2 linked regions of the Drosophila melanogaster genome follow. The protein of the gene in region 1 interacts with the protein of each later gene in a pairwise test. Each region holds a gene or a part of one and is shown on either strand. Other genes may lie near its edges. The genes, in order: RpS20 and hpo.

Region 1 (3,658 bases):
CCGGATAGTCGATGTAGCCGTCGCGTGAGGTGTCGTCCATCTGCAGGATGGGATCAATGAGGGCCACCAGCTCCTCGTCGGAGAAAACCTTCTCCTCCACATGCGGCTTCTCACCGTTCGGCTGCTCCTTGCTGCCTTGCTCTGCATGGCAATGATTTGTTATGGCGGATGCGAGATGGATTAGCATGAGATTCGAGCATGACCACAACCATAACCGGAAACAGCCCAGTTTTATTACGCATATGCAAAGAAGTAGAACAGAATAGTGGGTCAAACAAAACGAAATACAGAAACCACAAACGCAACTCTAACCAGCGAGCCAGATTAAAAAGCAGTAGCTATCTTACCGTGCCAATGGATCAGCGATTTGATCAGCTCGCAGCCGTCCAACTTGTTGTTGTTGTCCGAGTCGTGCATCTTGAAGTAGTGGAACTGCAGCTCAGCCTCGGACATCTTGCTCGTATCGATTGGCACTTGCATGTGCTCCTGGATGTGACTGAAATTGAAAGAGTAAGGTTTGGTATTAGATCCAACTGATCGTTGATTTGGTTGAAGAAATAGATCAGCCCAGAAATATTATGTAAGTACTATGTCTAATTTACTTTTAACATGGAACTTTTGATATATAATTTCTTTAAATGCGAATGGAAACATTTGCTGTATGAAAATGTCACTATGCTTAATTTATAGACTTTTTTCCTAATTAAGCCTTAGGTTTGCGGTACAACAAAATACCTCCCTTCACTTTTATGATTTATTTATGACATTTTTACTCGTATACCCTAAAGCTCCATTGATGGATAATGATTGCCAGTGGCAGTGATAAGATAGACGGGCACTTACGCGCGCTCCTGCTGAATGTTGCCGGTGTTTAGGACTTGCTGCGGTTGCCCATGGTGGTGGCCACCTGCCTGCTGGTGGTGCCCCTGCTGCGGCTGTTGCTGTTGCTGCATCGTCGGTTGCTGGTGGATTGGTTGATGTTGCTGCTGCTGCTGCTGCACAGGAACTTGCTGATATTGGACCGGTGCCTGCTGTTGCACGGGAACTTGAACCTGTTCGTATTGCTGGAAGTCGGAGGCCTACTGGTTAATTGCTTGCCATTCGGAAATGCGCATTTGCACTCACGTATTGCTGGGGCGGCACACCGGGTGCTGAGTGGACCTGTTGCTGGTACTGCGGCTGGTGGTGCTGCGGTGGTGGCGGTGGGTGGTGCTGCGGCACCTGCTGCGGCACTTGTTGCTGCAATATGTGTGGGTTAATTCCCTCATTGGCGAATGGGGGTGCTTCAAATCACTCACATAGTGCTGCGGATTCACTCCGGGAGCGACGCGCTGTCCGCTGGCCAATCCAATCAGGATTAGGGGCAGCAGCAGCTGAACTGCTGGCAATTCCGTGACGCGCATCTGCATGGAAGTGCTGGATTCTGGCGGGGATCGGATCGGATCGGTTTGGGATCTATATCGCTTCTGGTGGCTCTGTAATCACCACGTCGCAAAGACGAAACACACACGTACACAAATCGCTTCTTCTTCGCCGGTGGACATTCGCAGCGAGCGACAGCTGATTCTCAGGTAAGTGCGGACATTCGCCACGAAACGTGTGAGCGGCATGACAACACTGCGCGCCTGGGTTAGGGGTATGCGCGTAGATAATATTATCATGCTTCAAACCGAAAAAAAAAATCATAAAAACAAACTTGATGCTTCCATTTAACAACTCAAAATTTAATCAATCTAATATGTGTACGATTTCACCGTTAGGGGTTTAGTATTAGTACCCCGCTAATATTTAGCTCAAGGAACACCCCAAATGCAGTTGGGCATAATTAGGGTGTTTTAAAGATTGAAGCTACGGTCTACCGTGGACACCCTGTAAAACTTCTCTTCGTTTTCAACCAGCAAATTGACTGGTTCAGCGCTGCTCAAAATACAAAGATTTGAATATCTCGACCAGGGAAATTGCTAAATAATGGTAAGAATGCTGTTGCCGAACAATCCGCAACTACTGCGAGTCAATAGTAGTGCTTGCATTGCCCTTGCCAACACGAAATACCGTGCACGTGCGATGGCCGTTCAACCTAACCCCACTTAATCGATGTTTCCGCCAAATCCACAGGCTGCTGCACCCAAGGATATTGAGAAGCCCCATGTCGGCGATTCTGCCTCTGTGCACCGCATCCGCATCACCCTGACATCCAGGAACGTGCGTTCGCTGGAGAATGTGTGCCGCGACCTGATCAACGGTGCAAAGAACCAGAACTTGCGCGTCAAGGTGAGAATTTTGCGTCCAACTCAGGGATTTAGAGGTTGCATTTACCTGGAGGCTTTGCGTTCCCCCAGACGCTTAGCCTAGTCATTAATAAATGCTAGATAAAGTGCCAGAATCGGACATTATTCCCGCACTGATCGACTGCAGAGCTGGAATATCACATGGTTCAGGCTACAATACCCATTTTCATGAGGAATTCCTTTCTAATTCTTAAATATTCATTTATTTCAGGGCCCCGTGCGCATGCCGACCAAGACCCTTCGCATCACCACCCGTAAGACTCCTTGTGGTGAGGGTTCCAAGACCTGGGATCGCTTCCAGGTGGGTTATCCCCTATAATATATATAGTAACAAACGGGCGAATCTGATATCGTGGTTGGGCATTCAACCAGTCGCTCCACAGTATCAATGATTTGCCCAGATAAAACGTATTCTCATAGTACAATTTGTTGGTATTTCCTCACACTTTGCCTCTCTGAATGCGACAAAACTAATTAATAATGACTCAGCTATTAGCTTGCCAATGGAGTTGCATATTAAATCAATATTACATTATTCCAGATGAGAATCCACAAGCGCATCATCGACTTGCACTCGCCCTCTGAGATCGTCAAGAAGATTACCTCCATCAACATCGAGCCCGGCGTAGAGGTTGAGGTCACCATCGCCAACTAAGATCGGCAGATGCCACATTTTTACACCTCGAAAAGTTTGGCGTGCTAATAAAAACAAAGAACTTTTTCCATACACATTTGGCCAACTTTATTGTGCGAAAATTGGAGTACTTTACTGGAATGTTTTTTTATGGTAAAGGCAGTCTAATAGTAGTCGGGAACTGGGGCGCATGCAATCTTGACAAAGTCTGCATACCGCACAGTGCTATTGTTGTTCACATTGGCCTCCCGGAAGATGTTGTCCACTTCGCGCATGGACAGGCCCTCTCCCCAGTTTTGAAGTAGATTACGCAGCTGTCTGGCCGAGATGGTGCCCTTATTCTGCGGATCGGCCGCTTTAAAGGCGGCAATGACCTCGTCCGGCAAACTCTCCACCTTGGAGTGCTGATGCATGATGTCCAGGAAGTCGGCGAAGCTCATTTTCCCATTCTTTTGCTTCAGATAGGAAACCAGTTCTTGGATCGTCGGCGAAAGACCCAAAGAACGCATAATAACCTGATGACGTGAAGTTTACACCATTAGTATGTTTTTTTTTTCTGGGGTGGGAGCTCAACTCACGGTTAGTTCGTCCAAATTGTTGATTTGGCCCGAACGGGCGAACAGATAAAAACACTCACGGAACTCTGGGGGTTACAGATAAGAAATGTTTTCGGTATGAAATCATCAATTCACATTGATACGCATATTTACCATCAATGTCCTGTTCTTTAAAGTAA
Region 2 (5,611 bases), on another chromosome or scaffold:
GACATACGCCGCATATGTGGACTCCACATCGAATATGGAGTGCCATCCAAGGTCTGTGACATTGAACCAGCCAAAGGGGTCACACACACACTCATGCGAGGTGGGTGGGAATTGGTTACACATAACTTTCCGATTGCAGCGGAGTTCCATGGGAAATTGACTGACAGTTGGACGGTGCGACGTTTTGAATGTCAGTAGTCGCATTCCGGACGGAATCGCTTGCCCGTCAGCCGTGGAGCTCTACTAACTCCGGAAATAGACAATGGCATATTATTTACTCGGTTTTTGCTTTCACCTGCAACACTTGAAATAATTGGACACGCAGGTGTACGAAACTCGAGCTAAATTCAAATATGGGCTTTGTCTATGGGTCACCGAGTGGTAAGGTTACCCCTTTCTAGTGACAGTCGTGCAATTTCATTTGATTTTTATTTGCATTGACTCACATTTGTATAGTTGAAGTTTAAGTTTGCCAACAGACATATGGAAAATTCTAGCTATGGTTACAAAAATAAATCATTACCCGAATGTAAGGGCTTAAAAAGAATTAAGTTTAAATGTATGACCTATCCAAATTTCGAACAATATAACTTAATACCATATATATAGTATAATTAATAAGTCAACTAACAACGAACCTAATGGAATTTAGCGCCCTACCAAATAATTCCCACCACTCACCGTCCATCCGATTTTGTCGCCCCCGCAGAGGTACTCCATCTTTATGGGCAGGTCGCCGCGGTCAAAGTACATTCGGAAGAGGGTTCCTCGTCCCGGATCATTAGCCCCACCGGTGGAGCAGCCATTAAGACCCATGCCCAAGTTGAAGGTGGACATGGACTTTTGTTGGCGCCTCAGAACTGAAAATCAGTACAAATGCAAATGTGGGCAGGGATGTCATTAGGGAAACAAATACCGATGGGCGAAACACCCAAATAAACAAACTAACGCACTTTTCGGATTGGGCACCCGACTCCTGGCACTGGCTGTCTTGGGGGCGGTTTCGTGGATGGGTCCGTCGATGACGACCGTGTTCTTTTGCTGCGACTGAATGGAGAAGGGTGGAACGTAGCGCGGACGCGACGAGACCGCCGCTCCATGGATGCCGCTAAGTGGACGCAGTTGCGCCGGATTGGCGGACTTGGAGCGCGTCGGCCTGTGGTAGTCGTGCGTGGGACGCCTTGCCGTCGCGGTGCGTGCCGTTTGGGCCATGGCCATTTCCGGTTGATGCGACGATGTGCAGCCACGTAGTGTAAACAGCGAACTGCCGAGCGAAGGAATTTCTGTAGCCAGGCTGGCACTCCTGGTGTTGGCGTTGCTTTTGCTGTTGCTGTTGGGTGTCGTGTCGTTTCTATGGAGCACGTTGCTAAGGCCTGGGGCGGCTTAGTGACCGATAAGCCAGCAGTTGGAGCTAAAGCCGCTTGCTCGCATTCGCTGCGGTGCTCTCTTCCAGTCGCATTTGTTACAATAACAAGCCGGTTAGCCTTATAGGCGCCAGTTATGTTGTTATTATCATTCGACTATGCACTAACCAAAGTCCCCGGACTGCATGTAGATTTCCCAAGCACTTTTATTGGGCATTTCAGGTCAGCGAACTCATCGGAATGAAGGGGATCTGGGTTTTCTGGGGGCGCAACCGCAGATTAACAACGACAAATTGGCACAGCTCATGTCAATCATGCCAACATTTTATTCTATTTGATGAACAACAACAATCGATCCATAAAAGCAATTTAATTTTATATACAGAAGTAATAAATATTAAAACGTATTCAAAGTGAAACAAATTACCTAAACAACTTAATATTATAAATATTATATGTTAATCAGAATTTACTAAATCTTTTTAATCAAAGTACAAAGTAAATCGTCATAAATCTAATCAATAGCCATGAGAAAAACATAGAAATGCCATCATCAAGCAAAGATTTCAAAAAAGAGGTAAGCATGCGTGAGTTGTAAATTTAATTTTAACCTTATAATTCTGAGCCAATAAATTAAGTTTTAAAAAGCGCGCCAAGAGAACTTATCGATAAATGGCTAATTCTGCTATGCAGCACTGGTGCTTTGTTTACATTCTGCGGTGTTCGGCGTTTGTCTGGCAACGCCGCACCTGTTCTGTGCGGGTGGCGTGTTGCAAAGTGCCGAGGGCACTGAGAACTACTAGTGTTGGCTAGCGATCGAGTGCGAATAAAGAACAAAAGTGTGATATGTCGCTGTGAATAGCCAATTATCTGTGTTTTCTCGTGCTAAATCAGAAAATTTTTCGCAATGTCTGAGCCAGAGGTGACCAGCGTTGTAGATATGAAATCGCCCAACATATCCTCCTCCTGCTCCTTCTTCAAGCTGAAGAAGCTGTCGGAGGAGTCGCTTCTGCAGCCGCCGGAAAAGGTCTTCGACATTATGTACAAGCTGGGCGAGGGCAGCTATGGATCAGTCTACAAGGCAGTGCACAAGGAAAGCAGCTCCATTGTGGCCATCAAGCTGGTGCCGGTGGAGTCCGACCTGCACGAGATTATTAAGGAGATATCCATTATGCAACAATGCGACTCGCCGTATGTGGTGCGCTATTACGGCTCCTACTTCAAGCAGTATGACCTGTGGATCTGCATGGAGTACTGTGGCGCCGGCAGCGTCTCCGACATTATGCGTCTGCGCAAAAAGACGCTGACGGAGGACGAGATAGCCACTATTCTGTCGGACACTCTGCAGGGCTTGGTCTATCTGCATCTGCGTCGCAAGATCCATCGCGACATCAAGGCGGCCAACATCCTGCTCAATACCGAAGGCTATGCTAAGTTGGCCGATTTCGGAGTCGCTGGTCAGCTCACGGACACAATGGCCAAGAGAAACACTGTGATCGGAACGCCCTTCTGGATGGCCCCCGAGGTGATTGAGGAGATTGGCTACGACTGTGTGGCAGACATATGGTCATTGGGCATCACCGCCTTGGAAATGGCCGAGGGAAAGCCCCCATACGGTGAGATCCATCCCATGCGAGCCATCTTTATGATTCCGCAGAAGCCACCACCATCGTTCCGGGAACCGGATCGCTGGAGCACAGAGTTCATTGACTTCGTGAGCAAGTGCCTGGTAAAGGAGCCAGACGACCGGGCAACGGCCACTGAACTGCTGGAGCACGAGTTCATACGCAACGCCAAGCACCGATCGATCCTAAAGCCTATGCTTGAGGAGACCTGTGCCATTCGCGAGCAGCAACGCGCCAATCGCAGTTTTGGGGGCGTGTTGGCTGCTAGTCAGGCGAAGAGCTTGGCAACCCAGGAAAACGGAATGCAACAACACATCACGGACAACGCGTTTATGGAGGATCCAGGTACTCTGGTGCCGGAGAAGTTCGGTGAATACCAACAGAGCTCAGCCTCAGATGCCACCATGATAGCGCATGCAGAGCAAGGTGTGGATGAGGGCACTTTGGGGCCGGGTGGACTAAGGAACCTGTCCAAGGCAGCTGCTCCTGCAGCGGCCTCTTCGGCAGCATCTCCTCTGGACATGCCGGCAGTTGACAGCGGCACAATGGTGGAGCTGGAGTCGAACTTGGGTATGTAAATGATTTTGAAAGGGCTGGCCATTTGTTATTGTATTGTCTGTTATTCAGGCACTATGGTAATCAACTCCGATTCGGACGACTCCACAACGGCCAAAAACAACGACGACCAGAAGCCGCGAAACCGCTACAGGCCGCAGTTCCTGGAGCACTTCGATCGCAAAAATGCGGGAGATGGCCGTGGCGATGAAAAACCCATAGCCACAGAGTATTCTCCGGCAGCAGCGGAGCAGCAACAACAACAACAACAGCAGCAGCAACAACAACAGCAGGATGAACAGCATCTGGCAAGCGGGGCCAACGATTTGAACAACTGGGAGCACAACATGGAAATGCAGTTCCAGCAGATCTCCGCCATTAATCAGTATGGTCTGCAGCAGCACCAGCAGCAGCAGCAAGTTCTGATGGCTTATCCCCTGATGAACGAACAACTCATCGCGCTCAACAATCAACCGAATCTGCTGCTCAGCAACGCTGCGCCAATGGGACAGCAGGGAATACCGGCAGCGGCTCCAGCTCAACCGCCGCCCGCATATCAGAATCAGCATATGCATACGCAATCGCACGCCTATGTTGAGGGTGAGTTTGAGTTCCTCAAGTTCCTTACCTTCGACGATCTGAACCAGCGGCTGTGCAACATCGATCACGAAATGGAGCTGGAGATCGAACAGCTAAACAAGAAATACAATGCCAAGCGGCAGCCAATTGTTGACGCCATGAATGCAAAGCGCAAACGCCAGCAGAACATCAATAATAATCTGATTAAGATATAGGTAAAGCAACTCACAATTTCGCAAGACAACTGATTATGAAATCTCAACTCACTCAATTGCCTCTACATTGGGTTAAGTTTGCAGATGAATACTGAATCTTACAGACCCATCATCTGTATCCTCTAGAAATTATTCGTGCATTGTGCAAATTTAACCTGGTGGAAGGGTCTAAAATCAATCACAAGAAATGAAAACACAAAAGCTTTATTGTAAAATGCAGTGAAAACAGAAAAGAGGAGTCATCGGCAGTATCTTCCAGCACGAAAGCATATTTTCTGTTAGATTTCATCAAATTTATGCTTGGTTTCTTATATCCTAGCTTTCATTGATCTGTCTTTTAATATAAATAGGTATGCTCGAATAAAATTTATCTTGCGTTTATTGTAGCTGCCCGTATTGTGAACTGCCCAGGCCTTATCATAATTTAATAAGACTTATAATATTCGTTCTTCCTTGGTAACTATTAACCTTTATCTCTAAAACACTTATTTTCTGTCTTCGTGCGATAAAAACAGTAACCCGTCAAGCAATACTTATAAAGGAGAAACATTTTTATACGCATTGGAATGCATATTTTTCGAACATATATTTATCAAAGCAAAATGCACAGAAACACTCACATTTAAACATTTATATATACCTAGTACTTTTAGCAATTATAAATAATTTACATAATAAATATATAGGAATATATGAATCAAAAAATTGCATACAATATATAACTTATTCGAAAGATACTTAAGAAAATTTTGTAATAAGTAATGATATATGTAGACCAAGGAAACCTCCTTTTTATTTTAGTATGACTACTCTTGTATATCCATTTCCTGAGTTGCCTGCTGCATGTCGTGCAATTGTGCCCGCAAATCTTCGGGCAAAGTGTGCTCGTTCAAGGCACTAGGGTCTTCACCATCCACGACAATCTCCTCTGGATCTGGGGCTCGTGGCAAAAAGTCGGCATCTGGGAACATTTTGCCAAATATGTCGCGAGCATTGGCAATGGCCGCGTCATAATCCAGCTCGTAGGTAGGTGGATCGGTGTAGTAAATATGCTCGGCAGCGGGACTTTTACTAGACTGGGCAGCAATTGTGAAGTATGAGCTAAATATTATTTGTGCGTCTGATTGATCGAAGAGTTGGCTAGTGAAAATGGCTAGATCAGACGCTGGATCCTCGCTCAACGCTGGCGTGGTCAGATGGAAGATATCTGTAAAAATTAATTCATTAAAAAGGAATAATTCACATATTTTCTTAAGTTTCTTACATAAACCCT

Evidence for each region.
Region 2: the proteins of RpS20 (region 1) and hpo interact in a two-hybrid assay, tested with the Drosophila melanogaster proteins (2 studies listed by BioGRID).

Annotation. Positions count from the first base shown.
Region 1 is NT_033777.3:20,820,303-20,823,960, forward strand, and holds RpS20 (ribosomal protein S20), read left to right. Parts: upstream 1-1,878; 5' UTR 1,879-1,968; coding exon 1,969-1,971; intron 1,972-2,115; coding exon 2,116-2,271; intron 2,272-2,307; exon of another isoform or gene 2,308-2,447; intron 2,448-2,499; coding exon 2,500-2,589; intron 2,590-2,623; exon of another isoform or gene 2,624-2,758; intron 2,759-2,829; coding exon 2,830-2,943; 3' UTR 2,944-3,054; downstream 3,055-3,658. Other genes in the region: CG17271 (uncharacterized protein), read right to left, coding at 1-141, 348-496, 844-1,064, 1,126-1,239, 1,299-1,409; CG17272 (uncharacterized protein), read right to left, coding at 3,087-3,437, 3,501-3,565, 3,633-3,658.
Region 2 is NT_033778.4:19,493,409-19,499,019, reverse strand, and holds hpo (hippo), read left to right. Parts: upstream 1-2,163; 5' UTR 2,164-2,271; coding exon 2,272-3,559; intron 3,560-3,616; coding exon 3,617-4,338; 3' UTR 4,339-5,024; downstream 5,025-5,611. Other genes in the region: CG15120 (uncharacterized protein), read right to left, coding at 682-860, 954-1,218; Rep (Rab escort protein), read right to left, coding at 5,145-5,545, 5,603-5,611. UniProt on the Drosophila melanogaster protein: Plays a key role in the Hippo/SWH (Sav/Wts/Hpo) signaling pathway, a signaling pathway that plays a pivotal role in organ size control and tumor suppression by restricting proliferation and promoting apoptosis.